Linked DNA regions of Neodiprion lecontei. The protein of the gene in region 2 purifies or fractionates together with the protein of the main gene of each other region. This does not show direct contact. Links are inferred from orthologs where the notes say so. Each region holds a gene or a part of one and is shown on either strand. Other genes may lie near its edges. The genes, in order: E3 ubiquitin-protein ligase RNF8, mitotic spindle assembly checkpoint protein MAD2A, anaphase-promoting complex subunit 7 and anaphase-promoting complex subunit 1.

Region 1 (7,993 bases), on a different chromosome or scaffold from region 2:
TTACCTAAATCCTGGTACAAAAATGGCCAGACTATGGACAAGAAATATAGAAAAAATTGGTTAGTCTATTGATAAGGGTTACGTAAGACAATAAACAATTGGTACAGTTTTGTCAAAGGAACAAAAATAGTCGCAAAATTACTCAAACTGAGCCTTAAAAGTTATTTTGTTCCCATTGTAAGTTGATACAAAATAACTTCAACTAACTAACTAATAGAACTTTAAAACAGACAAATGATTCTAAAACTGTGCTTAGATTATTTTCTAAAAGACTTATATGTTGTAATTATAAATTAATTATTATTAAACTGATCAGTAATATTGTATTAACTTGAAAGACATTCTTGTTATTACAATCTCACCAACTGAACTAACAACAAAAACAACAAAAAACAGTGTTAAACATATCTTACCTTCTCCCTTTCTTGGTACAAATAAATTATGGAAGTGGCTGATTATTTTACGTGCATAAAAATTTGGGTCCTCGACAATGGGTCTTGGTACAGAAATTTTTGGCGATGAATACAGAGCAGATAGCCATTCGCAATAGACATTAACACAGTCTCTGACAGTATCATGCTCCGCCAATGGCAACGAAAGTCCGAAGCAAATGACTTCCATACACCACTGAACTTCTCGATCCGTAGTCAACGGGCTGTGCTCAGCTGCCTGTGTTATGCCAAGATTAGTAGCTAGCTGACGAACGATCGAGAGCGCTACTTCTCGTCCAGCTACAGGGTGGAATTTTTTTAAAACGCTCTGGCTGTCCTCTGAGCCATTCTGAACCAGTGTGCTCAGGGAGGCCCATTCTGAATACATTCCTCCTCCAGAATCCTGTGCAGAGGTAAGGTTACGATATGAAAATAAAAACATGGTTATTAAACTCTGAAACGCATATATGCGATGTCGTGATATTTAATTTTCTACGAGAATATCGTTCGGCCGTAATTTCTCCATTGTTAAAAGACATCATTAACCTTTCGTTTGCTATCTCCGACGATTATTTAATAATTTACCGAGATCGAGTTTCTTGGCCCAGTCATTATTGAGGTTATACATGCAACTTTGACAAGTGTCGGGCTTTGCATCAACGATAGCCTACGTGTCAAACGTAATATCGAATGCTGGACTGTGAGGCGTATAAGTTACCTTGAGATTAACCCTGTTGAATACGCCTAAATTCATAGATTACCATGCGCAAGTATGACGTACGATTGGAAAGGAATAATTAATTAACTTCCTACTCTGACCTGTCAAACTCAGCCAGAAAACTTCGAATATAGCTCGTGTAGCTGAAAAGCTGGTAGTAGCAACGCAAACCTAATCCGAAATCCATCCACCTAGCGGTAATTTGGCAAAAGTAACTCTGCGCGCAATGCGCATGCGCACTAGCTGATTTGCTTCATGGGTATTAACAAAACTACGAGCCTAGAATAGAAACAAACTACGAGTGTGGGCGAGTTATCAAAGATAGGTGTAAATGATGAAACAGATTTTTGGTCATACAAATTTAATCCGAACAATCAACTCTTTGTAATGAAAAAAATGAGAAAACCTGTGGACGTCCAATAAATAAATGAACCAAACAAATCTGATCATTAATCATTTTAAGTGAACTACGCATAAGACTCTGGGTTGAGAACCAGTATTTGAGAACACAATTTTGGCTTTCTTGTTACATTAGCTTTATTCAAGGGAGGACGGGTAACTGAATGATTGGTACACCTGGATGTATCACGGATAATGAGTTATCGTTTATTGAAGAGTTCAGAGGTAAGTATCACGCGGTTCTTTTTGCCACCGCTCTGGCTGAGTGTAACAGGTCTTGCTTTCTTGGGCGCGCGCGCGTGGTGAGTTCTCGAACGATCATTCGTCGCAGAGACGGAACGTCAGCGTCTGCTTACGCTGCCGCTTACGATCTGGGGCGCTGCTCTCAGCTCTGACGACGGGCGAACCTGGTCGTTGTCCAGAGGTCGCCACACAATAAACTTCCGCTGGTTGCGCATTGCCAGAAATTTGCTGCAGGTGCATTGACAAAGATAAACAACGGTATTTTAAGTTTGATGCATAACTTCAAGTACATTAAATCATAACGGTGTATTTATCGATTCAAAGTGGGATAAGTGAAATATCAGTGAGGGTTCAGAATTGCGTTAATTCGAAATACTACTGATAATACAAAAGATTTAATTCGCTGTGATGAAAGGTTATCGTTTCGGCGATAAAAAAAAGAGAGAGTGAAATTTTTCACTTCCTATGCTGCACGAGCTGCTTTTGTTTACATGAGTTTAGCTTCGGTAATAGGATAGTGTTTTGCAGGTTTTGAAGCAAGTTCCCTGAGCGATTCTTCGTTCCCAAAACAAAGCACGCAATGTTATAACATGAATTAACCGATGTTGATGTGATATTCGGCGTGTTTTTGATAATTAACGCAAGATCGGCTGCGGTCGCCATCAAGTTTTTGAAAATTGTCAAGAACATTCATCAACCACGATGGAAGAACAGGAAAGTCATAGTTCGAAAAGAAACATGTCTGATAGTCTGGAGGCCGTGCTTGTCAACGTTGAAAATACCGATCCCAGTAGTTTCATTCACATTGACAAAAATGAGGTATTACAGTTGGAATAACATTACTCACACTATAAACTTCACCAGCTTCTTATTGGTGTCAGGAGTTTCATGCACGAATTTTACCATGTTCTATCAAACACTCACTCACAAAAGATTTCCTCATCTTTGAGCCGAGCAGTTAGCTTTAATATATTTCAGTTCAGTTCTATTTCAATCATTGCATGTCATAGAACCCGTGTTCTATTTTTCATAGGTTAACAAATTGCCGAGTATATATATTCTTTTTTATATATATGATTTTACCACCAAATTATATCCTTTTTGTATACATTATACAGTTACGACAGAATCGATAGCATGATTTATACATCATGAGCATTTCCCATTTTCTCGCAGTTTAAAATAGGTAGAGGACGATCGAACGACGAGATACTGGCTAATATTTCGATATCAAGGCAGCATTGTATTATCAAACGCTCAGACGTTGGCGAATGGACGATACAGGATTTCAGTACGACTGGTACTTTTGTCAATGGGAATCAGTTGGCACCAGGAGAAATACGGACGATTAAAATAAATGATTCTGTACGGTTTGGTCCGATGTCTGAATTTTTGTACAAAGTGCAACTACTCTCTAAGAGTGAGCCGCTCACCAAGAAGGCGAAGATGTCTGTGCCAGAGATGGATTTACAAGATATTGTTATGAAGCAAAAGACTTTTGAAGAATCGCAGCAAATGGAAAGGGATAATCTTGCGGAACAAATGAAAGCCAAACACAACGAGCAACTGGAGTTGAAAAATGAACTGCAAAAGTTGTTGAACGAAAGAGAAGCGGCAAAGGGAGTGAAGGATCATTTAAACAATCAGATCAACATGCTGGAAAAAAATATAGAGGAAGTCAAACAGGCCGAAATGAATCTTGAGAAACTGAATCGAGAGTTGTCGGAACGATTAGATAAGGAGAGGCAAGAGTTTGAGACAAAATTGAACGAGGAGAAAAAGAAGCTGGAAGAAGCCTTGGAGATTAGTAGGAAAGAAAAAGAGATGTTGGTCAATAATATGAAAGAACAGTTGGAGAAACTGAAAAATGAACAACAGATTGAGTGCAAAAAGCTAACCGAGTCACTCAGCGAAGAAAAGAAAACTGCTGAAAAATTACAGAGTGAAAAGGTTGAAATCGAACAAAAACTTAAGGAGACGGAAGATGCTTTACTCAAGATAGAATCAAAAGCCAATGAACTTCAAACTACTCTTGAAAAACAAAATGGTAATTTTATCTACTGTGGAAAGTATAGTTGAGTGGGTACGATGGGTAAAATAGATTAAAGTCATTTCTTCATCTCAAATCTGGAGTAAATGACTAATATTGAAAAAATCGTGAATAGCCACTTCAGTTTTGCATAATTTTTCTTGTCCTATTCTAATGAGGTAATGTTGTTTTTTACGTGAACGCAAATTTCGCATCTACACATATTATAGTTGATTTTTTTTTTTTTCTCTCAAAGTTATTAAGAATAAAAATTGTATCCTTTTTAAGTTTATTATGAAATTGTGGCAGTGTTAATCTGAAAAAAAAAATCAAATGTTTCTTGTTATATAATTTAGTCATGATTATTTTTCAGCAGAGTCAGCTGCAAAAGTTGTCGCCCTCGGTACTGTGGCAGAAAACGTTGAAATTATTGATGAGTCACATCTGACGATTCTAGATACGATAGATTTGACTAAAGAAACACCTACGAAGAAAGCTGCTCCACCGAGCAGCACAGTGTCAGCTAATGAAGACGTCTTCAACAAAGTTGGCGATATCATGGATGAACAGTTGACATGTAGTATTTGTTCAGAACTATTCGTAAAAGCAACAACACTGAATTGTACTCACACATTTTGTCAGTACTGCATAGATACTTGGGAGAAGAAAAAGAAAGAATGTCCGGTGTGCAGAACGGCAATAATTGCCATGAATCGATCTTTGGTTTTAGACAATTTCATTGACAAAATGGTGGAAAACTTGTCAGTGGAATATAAGAAACGAAGGACAGATATTGTTGAAGAACGGAGAGGTAAACTCGGCCTTCCTCTATCTGTTGTAAAATCTAACGCCTACCAGTTTTGCACTGTATTATAATTTGTAAAATTGTTTTTAGTATAAATTACATACCTTTTTTTCCAAAACGGTGGGTTTTATTGATTCTATTAGGTATTATTGACTTTAAGTAAAGGAAAATTAGTTACAACCATCTGACAGTGAATGTCGGTGGAACGATTAGTATTTCCAAATCGTATGCTATGATTGATTTATGATAGTGTATCCATCATACGAAATCTGTTGAAATTTTATACCACAATAAACTGGTAGGTGGTGTAATTAATTGTACTAATCTTATTTATATAGAATACGATACATCAGAAGTCGAAATCAAGATGCCATATATCCTACATTTTTCTCACAGCTTTAAACTAATATTTTTCAGAATATGAAAGGGCAGCAAAGCAACCGGCGAATCAAGCACGTGGAAAGAAAGGTCGAGGCCGAGGTAGGGGAGGAAACGCGAATACAAATACTAATCGTACTGGAAATACTTCTACAGCAGCGACTAGGTCAGTAGGTCAGTGTGTAAATTCATCACAATAGATACTGACATGAGCTTTTAATTCGAATCGCATTACTACGTAGGGCGATGTATACATGTACCGTTTATTCATTCACATTGAGTAGAGTAGAAATTTCTGGTGAATTTTTCAAATCGACATATACTTGTATTACCCATCTCAATTTAAAAAGACGCCATCTACTGAAATGTTGAAATATGTAACCAACCCATGAAAAATAACCACCTTGCGTTTGAGGAGTTCGAAACTTGTATTCATGATTAGTTTCCTTTATTTTTACGTATAATCGAAATGTGCGCCAGCCTCTTGGTGCTTTACTTTTTTCGTGAAAACAATTTAATATTCCTGATGCTTTTTTTAATTTATTTTTTAATGGAATTTTCATTGCATGTATAATATACACACTCAAAATCTTTTATATTGTACTTCTTACTAAATATGGCTTCCCTTTGTCAATAATTAGTTAAAAAATTAATTATCGTTATGACAGTCTCGTGTACTTTAGATTGAGATTTTCACATGTTTCGACATGGCTTTGTTAATGTTATCTACATCCTGAAGTTGATTTTACTTGTTGAAAAATGTTTACATGTAAACAAGAATGATAGTTACCATATTATTCAAGTTTGTAAGCAACTTTCGTCTGATTTGGCCAAGTTATTTCTCCTTATTAGAATTAACATATCTAATTGTGTGCCTGTTTAAGAATATGTTCGAACTTATTATTGTTTTTATATGAACGTGAGACTGTACGTGGTTTAGTAACATTTCCTGTTACCTAAGTTTCACCAGCAATACATCTATGACAATATTAAAAGGTTTTCATAATCGATATACTGTATTTTTCGAATTAGACCCTCGGGACAAAAAAGAGATTTTATTCAAAGATAAACCGCATAACTGTATGAAAATTGAATCATATAACTATGAAAATATCAAGCGATTAAAATTTATCTGACAGTCGGACAGCCGGTAACAATCACATCCCAGGCAGGACAAGCGGTAGCAATCCGGATTGGAACAATGCCTCAGGGTCAAGCGGTCAACATCGCCAACAACGCTCAAGTAGTGGTAGGTGTAAAAAGAAAGGACCTCATTACCCTGCAGAAATTGTGTTGTGCTGTTCCATTCTATTCTAGGAAGTAGTCTTACCATTCGTTGATGAGTACTGAAGAGCTTTCTTGGAATGTACATATGTGTTATGGTATATTCAATGATTGGTACAAGATGTGTACCAAAATGTGGTTTCAGTAAGATGAACTAAAAATGGGGTTGATTTTTGATAGTATTTGAGAAAACACAATATACGTTATTTATCAGTCACTTCAATTTATATTTATTTCAGGTGGTACCACAAATCATGAACAGACACCCGCATCCACCCAGGGTTCAGGTAATACAACCCAACAGACCAACGATGATGATGACGGTTCAACGTGGAGCACGTCGACAGGTATATACAATTTTCTATCTTTATTGACCTGGCAAATGAATGGCACACAAATACCAATTTTTTTGGATTGTGTTTGCAACAGACGGCGACGGTGAGGATACCAACTCCCTCTCATCCGTCTACTCCTATAGTCAGACCTCTGAGGATCCGGAGAGCCACTCCGGAAACATGGACATCTCAATCGACTCAGGTATGTCCGATCCTGTGTATAGTATGTGTTTTCGAACTGAAGGATTTAAGGCTGAACCGTTCATGATTAAAGTATTGGAATGAATTTTTAAAGGATGAGTCAGTAATGACTCATTCACTATTGAAATTTACGGTTTTGAACATTAATTTGCATATTTTTTCGGCAAATAATTAAAAAGATGATTAAAAGGGTGTATTGCCATTTAGAAATTTTTTTTATGCGATACTTGCAAGGCGATTAAGGTCTCTTTCATGAATCTTTTCTCAATGTCTGACTTCAGATGGCCACAGCAGCGACGATAGCTGGTCGGGAATAGTCGATGGATATGAGGATTATTGGAGCGAACCACAGGACGACTATATAGAAGGTCGAATTGGTGCCCTTTACGGTGGATATGGTAGTTGCTATTCCTGCGGAAACAGGGGGCATTGGGCTCCGGGATGTCCATTCACATGATTTTGTGAGATTGACAAGTGACTGAACATATTCTAGAAACGATTTTGAGGTGTATGCAATATTTATCATTTTCAATCCACTCGATTGAGTAAAATTTCGTTGCTTCGTTGAGTGACTTATGGACCAGATTTATTTGGGTCATTTACGAATAGCATTATTATTATTATTGTCATTAAATTTTGATGATAATATTAGTTGAGCACTTACTGCCGAAAATTATACGCAGTTATTTAAATCTCATCAATCTCGTTCATCCCGCGATATTCCATATTCAGTGTATCAGCTATAACCGAAAGTACTCGGAAACTTTCGAAAAGCCATATTAATAATTTGAATGATATCTATTTTCTAAGTTCAGACATCCCCGGATATTGATTAACGTTATCGAAATTATTCTGTTACAGTAAGTTCGTCAGTAGTGTTGTCATTATTTACGTATAGGGTTGATAACAATTTTGGAAGGTGAAATATTCCCGAAAACTTATAAACGTTATCATATTTAATTTTGAAAGATTTTGCAGAAGAAAATCGTGCTCATAAGAAAAAAAATTAAAATTCAGCACACTGGTTGTACAAGGCTTTGAGATGATTACTTTTCATTTCTTGGATTGCAGCAGCATTATAACTTCACTGTACATTTTACAGTGAATGAATACAAAACTTACTGCTGGAGAAATGAAATTAAATTGAAAAATAATTACTTGTATACAAAT
Region 2 (3,546 bases):
ATTCGCATACGAAATGAAGTTATATCGAGTTACTCAATTTTTTGGTGCTGTACACTTTAACAGAATTCATAAACTTTTAATTCAGATCATGTTTCAATGTTTCCCGAATTTATCATCGACTTTGTTGTCAGAGTGAATCATTTGGAACAATTCTTTATACCTTGTTCGATGGATCGAAGATGGTTACGAATGATTTCAAGTGATTTCCACAAACTGCGCACAATGAATATCAGGAATATGAGTAGTGATTATGCAGCCAAAACTATCTCGTTAAAAGTGTGATATAAAAAAAGGAGAGTAGCGACCGTGAGTCTTATTGGCAAGACTGATCTACACAACGAAGTAGCTAAACAAAAATACAAATAAGTCTTAAAATAATGAATTGATTAGGAAATCGTGAATGTACATCAACTTCAGTATGCTGTGATCTGTGCCTAATCAGTAGAAATTCAGAACATCCAAAACCAGTGTCTTCTAGCTCTTTGAAATAAATACTACATCAGGAATTCCGTGAGGTTAGGTATGAAAAGAGGAGAGAGAAAAGTAAATGAGAGTATATAAAAACATTTATTTGAAAAATTATTGTTGTCCTTAATCAATCAAGGAGACCATTACAGTCTAATACAAAATATGATGCAATTGAAAGAGTATAATTACAATTGAATGAATATGAAGAATAAAAATTACAATAATAAGCACTTGTGTACGAAAGCGTACTGTATCATTGGTATCAATCGTTTTTATAGCTAACTATGGTCTGCATCTTATGAATGGATGTAGAGAAAGTCCTGAGTTGCACTTCCTGGCTGTTGGCGATAAATACTGGCTGGGTTTCATCCCATTCGGTGGGTATATTACAATCAGGAACTGTGTATGTCAGTATATCAAAGGAGCAGAGACAATCGAGTAGCGGCAAAAAACTGACTGTTCCTGTTATCTGACGTATCACTTCGCGGATCTCTTTTTGAATGGTCTTCGTATCCTTTGTACCAACTTCTGAGTGGTTTATATTTTTGTTGCCGGTGGCGGTGCCATTTGGAGTTGATCCTTCGTAATCAACTTTGAAATCCCATTTCTCAAGTACCTCTTTAGTGTTTACATTAGTTATGACAAGCGTTACCTTTTGTACTTTCTTTTGTAGTAACCATTCTTCGATTTGACCGAGGACAGTGTTTAAGAAAGATTTTATCTTTTCATCCGTAGAGACAAGGATTGACAAACCAAAATGTTCCGCCGGTTCGAATGTTTCCGGTGGATATATACCCCGCTGATAAAGTATACTGTTGATCCCGAAATCTGTAATAATGCAACGATTCCGAGTCGTTATAATACGGTTCAACAGTAAATGAAATCCAAAACAAAGAGCTGGAAAGTGACAGTTTTTGTTAAAAGATGAGTTCAGATACTCACGCAAGTATTCAGCGACTAACTCCGCGGAACCCTTTAGAGTAATACATTTCGATTTTTGTTGCGTTTCTGTCATTATGAGAGACGGGCCCAATCACCGTCGCAGCCGACAATAATAAAACTAGCTACTGCAAGCCTCCACACATCAGCCGAATTAACCAAACAATACTTTCATGAGGTTAGAAACAATCACGGGTAGCTTTTCAAATGCACCAATCGTAGCTCATGAGGCAACTTCGAACCCCTCACCGTTCCTGTCAGCCAATCGCAACACCCAACCTTTGGTATCCATAGCGTACAAGGTACAAGACGGCAGACTCTCTACATGATTAATGTCGATCAAGCCACGGATCCGTTGACTGAAGAATGTAATGACGGATACCCCTGGGTAAAATTTGGTGACCAGTTTTCGGCGGGCAAATGGGCGCAGGTAGGCCTGGGAGCGTAGGAGGGTTCTGCTCTATCGACTCTACCCAACGGGCTCGCACCGACATTCGTAACAGCCGAAGTAGTGTCGGTATGGCAGCATGAGATTGAGTCGGTACAAAGTGAGTACGCAAGACTACTTGTCGACTGCGACTTAAAAATGTCGATCGGCTCGATCATCCCCGTGAGAAGACGCGAAACCGCGTCCGCCGACAACTACCATACAACCACCGAGCACCACCAATGACCGTCAACCACCTTCTCCCACCTCCGACCACCTTCGTGCTCCTTGTCCACCTCGACGCCGTCCTCCTCCTCCGCACCACGGCGCGTCGTCCGCGTCTTCGTCGTCTTTCACGACAACCGCCGATCACTTCCAACCACCTCCAAACACTTCCTACCATCTCCGTCCACCTCGTACCACCCCCTGCCGCCACTTACCACTTCCGGCAACAACCGACCACCTACTATTATCCCCGACCACCTTCTACCAACCCCTACCACCACCTACCTGCGCCTACCACCGGCTACCATTTCCGAACATCCCTAACCACCTTCGTCCTCCTGGTCCTCCTGCTCCACCATGTATTCCATAATATTAATATTCATAATTATTCCGACAACTTTTCATATGATCTTTCGGTCTTGAATTTTCGTAGGCATGGAATCGAAACGCTGTATTAGCTAGTCGCAAGTGAAATACCTACGTTGGGTAGAGAAGCAGAATTGTTTTTCAAAAAGTGAACATATGGGAAAAAATTCAGAGTAAGTGTAATACATCATGGATGCGCTAATTTTGATCGATATGAAATGGATGCTCCGTATATGAGACAGTATTTAACGCTGCGTAGTGATTTAAAGACCTAGAAAGGTGATAGGGAGAGAAAGAACGACGCTTCTTAACACTTCGAGTGTATTTTAACACACATTTGAAAGATACGAGCGAAATTTTTCATCATCCAACTGTCGCAGAACGGCAGCGTTATTAGCCGACCCGTTCACTGAAGAATACATCTTCAGTCAACGGCTGACGATCGAAGGGCCTGGCCGCTTGAGTCTGGAATCGGCAGGAGAGATAAAGTGCGTATTTCTTGTATGAAATGTGAAAGCTAAAATCATTATACATCATATCATATCATCATACATCATACATCATACATCATACATCATACATCATACATCGTACATCATACATCATCATACATAGTATCAAAGTTCGAAACCATAGTTTGGATGTCGGATGTTCAGAAAGTGACGTCACCAATTCAAAATCAGCTAGCCGAATTCCTCAGTCGGGAAACAACCGCGCAGTAGAGCGGACGGATGAGAGTCGCGCTCCGCAAATTTCGAGTACCGGGTTCTCAACCTCCCGGATCCCGCGCTTCGGGTCCGCTACGTATTTGGAGTACCGGGTTCTCAACCTTCCGGATCCCGCGCTTCGGGTCCGCTACGCGGTAAAACTCGGCTTCCAGGATAAGCGCTCCGTGGCTCCTCGTTCATGTTTACAATAAATTATTTCAATTCGTTTTTCGCGCAAGCCCAAATTCAGTAGCTGTCAGTCCGCTAATAAAATTTCTCGACTTCCAGGATAAGCGCTCCGTGGTTCCTGGTTCATGTTTACAATAAATTATTTCAATTCGTTTCTCGCGCAAGCCCATATTCAGTAGCTGTCAGTCCGCTAATAAAATTTCTCGACTTCCAGGATAAGCGCTC
Region 3 (4,984 bases), on a different chromosome or scaffold from region 2:
TCTACCGGATTCTACATTGTTGAGCTCAATAACTGGCGTGGATTCAAGTAAACGATCAGCTGACACCAGCATGTCGGATAATATTGATAGTCAAGAACCACAGCATATCTTAAACGAAGACAAGATTACTGCTGGGCTTAAATATTTACGAGCAAATTTTGAAAAGCAAAAGCACAGCTGATCGACTAAAATATTTAAGAATATCAAGTCAACTAATTTTAGATAATAGACATGTTTTATGTCGAATGACATAGTTGTAAATATTTTTTCGATGCACACTTTCTTCATTAATTATTATTTACTTGTAAAATTGTTACTTATTTATACGAAAGATCTGAAATAATTTTGTTATGAAAGTTTCATTAGGCATACTGTGTGGGAAATACATAATTAACGATTCTATTTTTTGTACTTCTTACTCAATTACCTACATTACTAGTTCTTTACGAGTAGACTTTGGTTATTAAAATGTTTTCAATGGGAGACAGAAATTCTATATGGTAACCAAACTACGTACTCATATTTTTTAATTTATTCTTATTTGTGGTACACACAAAACTGAATAAATTTTTTGCTTATTCTGTACTAAGAAAACAACATCGAAAAATTAGCTAATAAAGTAAGAATTTCTCTTTCTATAAACATGATTGATGCGTTCTCATTAGAACATAAACATAGAGAAACATGGTGCTTCCCAGAATTGCGTAATTCTTTCTTGCATGATCGAAGTACTCATTTGTCAATTGTACTACATATAGGAGAAAGGAACTCGTCATTTTGTCTACTCCATAAACAGTTTCGTACATTTACAAAAAATGCACGCATTATTATGATTTAAAGAATATCGTCAGTCACAGTTGAAATTCAACAGTCTTTGCAGAAGTATGGAACAAAAATTTCCGAGGAGTACTGTGATGCGGGATGACAATTTCTCTGATAAAGAACTCATAATTTCATTGTTATATAATATCAGAGGAAAATCATTGCCGCAAAAATGAGAAATGCTCATTATTTTCAGTTACAAACTACTTTCAATCACTCTGGTTGTAAGTTACCCTATTGACTATTCGCTTCCAGATCCATGTCAGACCAAACTGCTTCTGTTTCACTTTCGTCAGCTCCCTCGTCATTGTCTGTATCTGGCAAACCATCTCCAACATCATAAGTTGTATCTGCATGTTCGTCACCTACAGTCATATAATAAGTCGATTCCAGTTTCGTTGAAGTACTGTCTAACCGATGCAGCCCTTCCAGAGCCCGTCGATTACATGGATCTAAACTGTAAACAAATGGGATAAAATGAATTGGTTAGTAACAGTACAGATAAAAATATCAGCACACTGTGAAACTAAAACTGCATCCCTACTTCAAGGCGATGGCGTAATGATCCAATGCTTTTTCTTGATTGTGAATTCTAGCCCACAAATCGCCAAGCATCTGATGAAATTTAGAGGTAGGTAATATTTCTACTTGTCTCTCAAGTAATTCAATAGCAGCTTCTAAGTTCATCTCCTGTTCGTATATTTCAGCCAACAAATAAACAGCCGGCAAAAATGACTCTTCTTGACTCAATGCTTTTTCCAACAAGTTTTTCGCTTTGCCAACTGATACAGGGTCCTTCATCAAAACCGACGAATAAAGCTGCAACATAATATTTTTACATAAGTCATCGTGTCAAATCTCAAAAACTGTTGTTTAAACATACAGTTTAGTATTTTACTAATGGCGTACCGTCAGAGCCCGAGGCGTGTGTCCCAGTAATTTACAACCTGTACTGGCGATATTCAATGCTTCCCTAAGTCTATGCATTCCAACATAACAATCAACGAGTCCTTTGTGTGGTTCGTATCTATGTGGTTTGAGTAGAGCAGCTTTCCTAAAATGGTGCAATGCCTCTTGATATTTTTTTTGGTCGATAAGAATATTTCCCCATAATATAATTGCTTCGATACTATAGGGGCTCAGGTTTATCGCTTGTACAATCAGGGTACTTGCTCTACTGAATTTTCGCGCAGCGTACAAAGCATAAGCCATAGCTATATACTGTTCAGCTGTGTATTCGGAAGTCTGTGTTATAGCTGGGATTAATTTCTCAAGCTCCTTGGTGTTTTGCGTCTTGTACAACACAGCGGCATATATGTCAAGGCTAAAAAAGTAACAAAATAAAACAGATCAGGCTTATCATTGAACACATATCATTTGAATCCAGAAACGAATTTTTACAAACCCTTTCGTCAAATCAGGTTCTATAGTTCTGGCCCGTCGCAAACACGTCAAGGCATTTTTATCGTCACCAGCAAAATAGTAACATTCACCCATTGTTATTAACAAGGTAACATTGTCTCTAAAGTAATTGGCATTATCGAGTGACCTGAATGCTGTGATTGCATGACTGTATTCACGATTGTGAATATGTGCGTGTCCTTTGATCCAGATGTTCAACCACTCCAGACTTGGTGAATTGGTTATAGAGTTAACAATCATGGAATTTACTTCGATCCCTTTTACACCCAGAGCAAGGAGTCCTTCCACTGCGTTAAGAGCCAATGGACATTCTCGTAAAACTTCCTTGTATGTCGTAATTGCTGATCTTTCCATTCCTTGTTCTTGGAACATTTTTGCCAGAGCCATATTCACCTAAAAATTTATTTTCCGAACATAAATAATAGATGGCAAAAAAGTTTTCTACTTTCAAGGATGAAGAAGTTCTTACTTTTGCGGATCTTTGCTTGCCAGGTATTCCCTGAAGAACTTGTAAGGCTTCTTGGGTATTTTTGAGCTTGACCAAGCACAAATGTATTTGATATTTAATGTCTATGTCCGACATGAGTTCTTTCTGTCCATCAGGCGGCGGTTTAGTAGCACCTTTAGATTTCAAAAGGCATTTACGAAACTGCAAGGACTTCTTGTACAGCGATTCAGCCTTCCGGTACTTGGAAAGATGAAAGTACGAATCAGCACAATGGACATACGTTAAGAATTTTGCCTGCGGTGGAAGAAGCTCGCTGTTGTGATCGCTTAGCGATAAAATGAAATTTGCCTAGAAATAGAAGAGCTGAACGTTATCCTCATGCATTTCTCTTACACTGGCAAATTCTTTCTCGCCATCAATTTTCTGCATTATAGGTTAGTTTCAACAAATCAACATTAAGTCACAGCTCGTACTCACTAGAGCGATCACATTTGAATACAGCTCTTGATCGTACAACATTTTTATCTGCTCGTATAAACTCGACATTTTTACAGATCTATATAAATACTACTTTGACAGCGGACGGCTTGTGTCCTCTTATTCACCCACCCACATTTACAAATTCATATACTTATGCACGCCTAAAGCACCCGTCAAACATTGGCGACATCTGTTGACTAGCGCGAGATTTGAATGGCTGGTTTCTTCGACAAATCTAATTCTAGCTTGATTCTAGCATTTTAATGTTGGAAATGCAATAAACGCCGTTAATATCGTTCATCAAAACTTCTTACAAACTTATGACGTTGGCTGTTGACAAAAACAATAAAAGCACATCCAGCAGTTAGTATATAAAATATGTCACATCTTTTTACATAAAACCTAAATACTGTGCGGCTAAACTCGTTGGGCTATAGATTATTTACAAGTTTATTGTACGCTCTGTAATGATCGATAAAACTTTTATATCGTGACCTTCACGAGTAACATTGCCCTACATTCCTGCTCGATCCATAAGAAATTACTCTGCGACGGGTCACATACTGTACTTAAACTATAACTCAAGTTTTCACATCCGGTAGTATTATTTTAATAATATGGTTTATTGCGTACGCTGAATATACGGGAATGTTATACATATTTTGCGCAACTGCCGAAATCAGATATTATATACATATGTATCTATAGCAGATGACATCGCTGATACAGACTGAATCAGGTGTTCTCACAATCAGACAGACATAGGTGAACAATGTGAACATAGATCCCCGCAGCATATCATTCATATATCCGTATATCATTACTGATTAGATAAGCGTTAATTTTCATGTACGATGAGTCGTTGCACCTCGGGTAATTTTTAAAAAATACGTACATTACAAAGTATAGCGTACCAAACAATTTACAATTTTACTGCAACGGACGAATGGAATCAAATAAAATATCTTACCACTTGTAAATAATAGTAATTGAATCGTGTATCGGTAATCCGCACGCGGCATTTTTCAAACCATAATGAAAATTGTGATAGAAAAAAAAAAAAGACTCCAATCTTATCGCAATCCTATGTGCATGATATTTGTATGTCGCGATATATGGCTTATTGGGTCATAATGAGATGTCTTTCCCATACCTAGATGGCGATAAAAAATAGTACGGTGATTGGTGTGCAGAGTGGATGCCATGAATTTCACAGCACAATCAAGGACACGTAGTGCGTTATCCTTTCACTTTCAAGGAAGCCGAGATTTGGCATAGTTTCAGTCTACCGCAGGCAACGAGCGGTGTAACAGGTGGGCTTAATTACTTTTTACATAAAGCTCCTCCGGATTATGTTCGAGTCTCGAATAAATACGAAGTGTTATTCTCTTACTAAAATCCGCTATAATCTTATAAATTGAAAATTATCAACACCGCATGCGTCACTTCGTGTCTCAAGTAAACGAAAACCATAGGGAAAGTAAGTTGGAATATGTGCATACATAAATCGTGATATAATTATATCGAACGACTAATGGATATAAGTGTATGTATTTGTTTTTTTTTTCTTTTGTTATTCGGCCAATAAAATATTCAATAGAATATATTATTCCATGGCAAGTAAACCGAATTTCCAGTATCGTTGCGAATGTCATTTGTAAATAAAGGATTATATCAGAATCACGCCGATGTAGATCAAGCTGATCACCTTGCCATAATAATAATATAATATACGAATACCACGAATACTTTCACGGGAAAAGCTCTGACCTCTGAATATCTTTCGAAATTATTCCGATATTGAATTAATAG
Region 4 (4,843 bases), on a different chromosome or scaffold from region 2:
GCAGCAGCCCCATTTGAAAGATGTTCCAGAGTACATAGTGCCCCAGACGCTGAAGAGGATAGCAGGAATAGGGAAAAGAAAACGAAAATTTGACAGGGAAGTTGCAGCAACTGGGTCGAGTGCTAGCAAATCAAAACACTTAGCCAGAGCTTCGAATCCATTAATCAGTCTCAGCATACCGCGAAAAAAGTAAACCAATGGAATTGAGTGAAAAAATTACGAACTGTTAAGAATATAAGACTATAACGATACTATATGGTTATTATATTTTGAAATACAAAAACGGAATTGATCGGAGAAAATTAGGCGATGCTGCTTTTTTTTTTACTGTAAATATTTTCTTAAGATTTATTACATATTAGCGGACCATAAAATTAGTAGCTTTGCAAGTATTAAGTAAATAATGAGATTTGCTAAATGCATAGTTGCAAAAATAAATCAGCCGACCTCGGTTTTGTGAAGTGAAAGTATTGGAATATTACTACTTAGGGGCCGTTCTGGGCTTGTACTTCCCTCTGATATTGTCATTCAGACCTTCCCTGTTTCTTGCCAACTCAATAGCATAGAATTGGATTCTGGATGTTAGTATGCTGTTTTGTTCAGAATATTCTCCATCACAATCCGCCCTTACCAGGGTGCCGAAACTGTAGTCTTCTACAACCTCCTTGAATTGTTCGCAAAACGGCCTCCACTTTGCTTTTCCTTCGGGCGACTTAAGCTCATCCTCGTTAATCTTGTCTACTTTAAAGTCTGGAAACGATTCTCTGAATGATTTGTAGATCAAATCATCGTGCGGTGTCAGTCTTAGGAGCTTAGGATCCACCGAACATAATATCTGGAAATGAAACAGTGTTTATAAGCTGGAGAAAAATGTGCATAGATATTTCGGATGAAAAAATTCTGTTACCAACGTTAAAGTATATCTCTGCGTGCTCATACGCCTTGATTGCCCACATTGCCTCCACTGATGGCTGGAATAATTTTTGGACGGATTAAAATTGGTCAGTTTAGAAAATCTGAGAAACATAGGACACTTTAGGAGTCTGGTAATTGAGTTTGAATGAATTATTTTTGGCTTACGTCATTGTCAAACTCCTCGGCAGGCCTGGACAGAACGCTGCTTCCTGCTATCAATTGATCAGCTGTCTGTATCGTAGGGTAAATTATTGATGATTAGTGTTTCTTTGAAATGGGTACGTAAAACAGTGAGAATATCAAATATAGGTTATGCTTTGTACAATAGGTTTTCAGGTATTGTAAATCGTTGCAAAGGCTTGCAGAATGATATTTTTTTCAGGGAAATTAAAATCAGACTACATTTTGGTTGTGATCTGACGATAAAATTCTATAGAACGTATCTGAGCGTCATTATTTTACTTACCACATCACCCACATGTGCCATGTTTGCGCGAATGTTATTGTTATTATAATTATATCGTATATACGTCGAGAGTCAAGTTTGGGAGCGTTGCTTCGAACGGATAAAATTTGTTTAATTCAACTGAAATCTCTTTCCAAATTTTTCTACAATCATACAAACAAGATTGATTGAGTTTTATTCATCAATTTTGTGACTGTAATTTTCTAAGAAAGAAAATATCACGCGATGCACGAGTTCGAGACCTGACACTTTACATAAACTGACAGTTCAAAAACCTTTCTTATAGTAAACCATCGTTAGAGTAAACCGATTATTATTATTCTTCCCCCTAACACGTACACTGATAACGTGCTAAAAATAAATTTTGTGACAGCTACTAGTGTTTACGATAAAATAATAAACAAACTTAGCAAATCTGGATGAAATCGGGGAGAAAATGATCGCCGCTTCCGATCCGCTGGTAAGTTTACTCAGTTTGTTTCTTTTAGGTTATGTTATGTTAGGTTGGGTTATCTTTGCCGGTCGTATATTGCAAAAACTTTGAACGTGATGTGAGCTATAATACGTTTCAGGTCCATTCTGTATCTTAGTCGATCCAACTTGAAAATTATGCAAAAAATTATTTGTGTTTTTACAAATATTTCACGATTTCGTTTTCTGCCATGTTCGTAGCAAATTCCGTATCGTACGATTTCGTTCACGGCGTTTTAAACTGAATACTTTATTGTACTTGCTAACTAATTTCAAATAAATAAATTCCTTATCATGTTTCAAGGAATATGTCCCAGGAGGACGACAGACGATCTTGCGGCATCCAGGTTCTGTCGTTGCCCAGCAATTGGCCAGCAATCAAACTGCGCCAGGAGAGAGTTTCATTTTACAGAGGCTCAGTCAAGTGAATATATCAGAAAAAACGCCTGTAAGCCGTTGAGTATTTTTGAAGGAATTGGGAAATAAAGTTAAAATTATACTCTCTTATTTGAAACAATTAACGAAACATTCAATTACAGCAAGAATTCTGGTCTGTTAGACAAAACAAAACTTACGGCGAAGAGGAATTGTACTGCTCAGGAAAAATTGCCGTTCACTCTAAAGGCAGCGGGTCTACGAGGTCGCTTCAAACTTCATACTCGTGTGACAGTGACATAAAGCATGCTCTTTGGTGTGTGTTTCACTCGACTACACCAGAAAATGTTCCTAATCAACCTGACTTTAATGAGCCTAGCGGGAGCCCCATTGAGTGTATTTGTCTCCTGGATTCATATAACCTGAAGGTTTTCACTGAAACTGGAGAAGACTATGTATCAAGCTTACAATTTCAAGTGGGTAGACAATCTTCGATCTGTTTGGAAAAATTTATCATGTGAAAATGTAAAATATTTCGATTTCATCAATTGATTTAGGTATCATCAGTTTGGGCTACGAAGTTTGGAATTTTGTTGGAAAAGTTCCCAGCTCCTACCACAGTGTCGAGGTAATTATACTCGTAGCTATGCAAATTAAGTCAACAACAGTACATGCTGTTACATTTACTTAGGTATGCCTCTTTGGAAGCGAGCAAACTGGCGGCGCAAAATGAAAACCAATTACCCACAGCATTTTCTCTCAAGCATCCGTTGGACGAAATTTGTCCTCTGCTGCTGAAGCACGGTGAATATTAAATAAATATGGAACTGATAGTTAATCCGAAGTTAGTAATGTTATTCGAACTACGCAGTCTGGGAAATATCGTAATATTCCTCAATTTTAGAATTGTCTCCAAATACAATAAACCGTAATAAAGCAAACCATTCTTATTTTTCGAAAATACAATTACTTTAGAGTCATTTTGAAATTGCAGCGTAGTAATTTTTCCCAATGTTTCGTTACGTCAACGTTACTAATTTCAACTTCGTAACTAGTTTCAGTATACACTTACTGTTAATATTATAAATTAAATTTTAATTTTTGCAGGTAGTCTCTCGTATATGTGCGATTCGCATCAGAAAATAGTGTTTACAAGTTCTGAACCATCGCTAGCTGTTGTCTATGATACCCGTACTGGCCTACATTCAGTTTATAAAATCCGTAAGGCTTCGTCTGACGAGTGTCATGTCGTTTGTGGCAATGACACTACACCTAGTATTATTTTAAATCACTCTGCAACTGGCTCACCTCTTAATATCGGTAGCAATCTTTCTACCAACAGAAGCTCTACTAGCAAAGCTCACGTCAGTATTTTTGGTGAGTTCATTGGTTTATATGAAATATTGAAAATGTCAATATCATCCTTAAAAATGTCTTGTTTTGTGCCTTTTCTACCACTCCCAAACAGGTATTCCTAACTTGCAATCAAGTGGTATTGGTATGGGTATTAGTTTGGCGGGTGGCGGAGTAGCAGCCACAAGCCCTTTTGCATCTCGTGCGGCGTCATATACGACAGGCTCTGTCAGCGGGGCATCGCCTTCGCAGCAGCAACATTCAAGATCTCAGAGTCCGATGGCTGCTATTTCAAGATCTGAATCTCCCACGACTTTCTCTCCGTTATTGGGAGGCCCTAGCAGCTCTATAGCTCATCAAACTAGATTACATCACACAGTGATGGCAACGATTTTGGGGCAGTCGCCGAATAGTCCGAGTAGTCCTTGCAGTAGCTTGCATCTTCAAGATCCCATGGCCAGTCCTAGTAGGCCTCTGTATCCTGAACTTTGCCTGGATCACGTATGGACAGAAAATGTTGGAGTTTCAAAGTGAGTATTAGTGTTCAAGATCTTGTATCAAGTGTCGAACCCCCTGCTCTCCTACCAATCCTCCTATTTTTCCCGATATCCCATCTAGGTCTTACCTGTGCTTGCAGTTCCTTTGGACCTTCAATCAGAAGTGAGTTTCTGTATTAACTTTGTTTTGGCCATAGTTTGGAATTTAGAAGCAAATGTATCCACCCTGAAAAAAAATAATGATCTCAGTGATTATGATGTTAAGAGAAGTAACAAGCATATCTTACTCCGCTTTAATTTAAGGGATGTCATATCTGGACCTGCATCGAAGGTTTTATTGACATCGGATCTTGTCGGTCAAAGTTATTTGGGATATTTAGTACCGAATAGATCTCAACTGTTTTTGGTACGACTTGAGAAGTCAAACAAACAGCAACAAATTATTTTCGGAATGGTTACCAGTATAGTTGCAAAAGATGCTGTCAGTTTGCCGGTGAGATTAATGAATATGATTAATTCAAAACAATTCCATATTTTTCTCCATGTCAGCACAAATTTATATTTGGTATAATTTGTTTTGTACCTATGATTTTTCAGAAACTTCACATGATTGTGACGGTAGATTTGTCCAACGGAGTCGCACTTTATTCCGGAGTGACCTGCGTAGGCAAGGTTCATATTGCTGGAGTTTTGTCTCCTCTGTCAAGTTCGAACTACTATCTTCCAAATTTTGCCCAAAAACTTGGTAGCTCTCCATTTCCACGCA

Evidence for each region.
Region 1: the proteins of mitotic spindle assembly checkpoint protein MAD2A (region 2) and E3 ubiquitin-protein ligase RNF8 purify together in Homo sapiens (co-immunoprecipitation; 3 studies listed by BioGRID and IntAct, with this or other methods). This does not show direct contact. The link is inferred for Neodiprion lecontei from reciprocal best matches to the Homo sapiens genes MAD2L1 and RNF8.
Region 3: the proteins of mitotic spindle assembly checkpoint protein MAD2A (region 2) and anaphase-promoting complex subunit 7 purify together in Homo sapiens (affinity purification with mass spectrometry; 3 studies listed by BioGRID and IntAct, with this or other methods). This does not show direct contact. The link is inferred for Neodiprion lecontei from reciprocal best matches to the Homo sapiens genes MAD2L1 and ANAPC7.
Region 4: the proteins of mitotic spindle assembly checkpoint protein MAD2A (region 2) and anaphase-promoting complex subunit 1 purify together in Homo sapiens (affinity purification with mass spectrometry; 3 studies listed by BioGRID and IntAct, with this or other methods). This does not show direct contact. The link is inferred for Neodiprion lecontei from reciprocal best matches to the Homo sapiens genes MAD2L1 and ANAPC1.

Annotation. Positions count from the first base shown.
Region 1 is NC_060262.1:38,840,242-38,848,234, forward strand, and holds the start of E3 ubiquitin-protein ligase RNF8, read left to right. Parts: upstream 1-1,983; 5' UTR 1,984-2,493; coding exon 2,494-2,610; intron 2,611-2,967; coding exon 2,968-3,838; intron 3,839-4,193; coding exon 4,194-4,631; intron 4,632-5,042; coding exon 5,043-5,169; coding exon of another isoform or gene 5,170-5,177; intron 5,178-6,142; coding exon 6,143-6,252; intron 6,253-6,526; coding exon 6,527-6,634; intron 6,635-6,716; coding exon 6,717-6,824; intron 6,825-7,104; coding exon 7,105-7,280; 3' UTR 7,281-7,993. Other genes in the region: ral GTPase-activating protein subunit beta, read right to left, coding at 5-31, 414-834, 1,017-1,088. UniProt on the Homo sapiens protein: E3 ubiquitin-protein ligase that plays a key role in DNA damage signaling via 2 distinct roles: by mediating the 'Lys-63'-linked ubiquitination of histones H2A and H2AX and promoting the recruitment of DNA repair proteins at double-strand breaks (DSBs) sites, and by catalyzing 'Lys-48'-linked ubiquitination to remove target proteins from DNA damage sites.
Region 2 is NC_060260.1:24,019,875-24,023,420, forward strand, and holds mitotic spindle assembly checkpoint protein MAD2A, read right to left. Parts: upstream 1,671-3,546; 5' UTR 1,484-1,670; coding exon 1,411-1,483; intron 1,297-1,410; coding exon 731-1,296; 3' UTR 549-730; downstream 1-548. UniProt on the Homo sapiens protein: Component of the spindle-assembly checkpoint that prevents the onset of anaphase until all chromosomes are properly aligned at the metaphase plate.
Region 3 is NC_060262.1:35,033,219-35,038,202, reverse strand, and holds anaphase-promoting complex subunit 7, read right to left. Parts: upstream 3,313-4,984; 5' UTR 3,239-3,312; coding exon 3,170-3,238; intron 3,041-3,169; coding exon 2,714-3,040; intron 2,638-2,713; coding exon 2,228-2,637; intron 2,147-2,227; coding exon 1,732-2,146; intron 1,642-1,731; coding exon 1,367-1,641; intron 1,280-1,366; coding exon 1,057-1,279; 3' UTR 515-1,056; downstream 1-514. Other genes in the region: coiled-coil domain-containing protein 174, read left to right, coding at 1-181. UniProt on the Homo sapiens protein: Component of the anaphase promoting complex/cyclosome (APC/C), a cell cycle-regulated E3 ubiquitin ligase that controls progression through mitosis and the G1 phase of the cell cycle.
Region 4 is NC_060265.1:30,811,845-30,816,687, reverse strand, and holds the start of anaphase-promoting complex subunit 1, read left to right. Parts: upstream 1-1,817; coding exon 1,818-1,841; intron 1,842-2,156; coding exon 2,157-2,300; intron 2,301-2,391; coding exon 2,392-2,703; intron 2,704-2,784; coding exon 2,785-2,855; intron 2,856-2,918; coding exon 2,919-3,031; intron 3,032-3,334; coding exon 3,335-3,604; intron 3,605-3,695; coding exon 3,696-4,110; intron 4,111-4,380; coding exon 4,381-4,570; intron 4,571-4,674; coding exon 4,675-4,843. Other genes in the region: probable ATP-dependent RNA helicase DDX56, read left to right, coding at 1-193; protein PBDC1, read right to left, coding at 482-835, 912-971, 1,081-1,146, 1,382-1,402. UniProt on the Homo sapiens protein: Component of the anaphase promoting complex/cyclosome (APC/C), a cell cycle-regulated E3 ubiquitin ligase that controls progression through mitosis and the G1 phase of the cell cycle.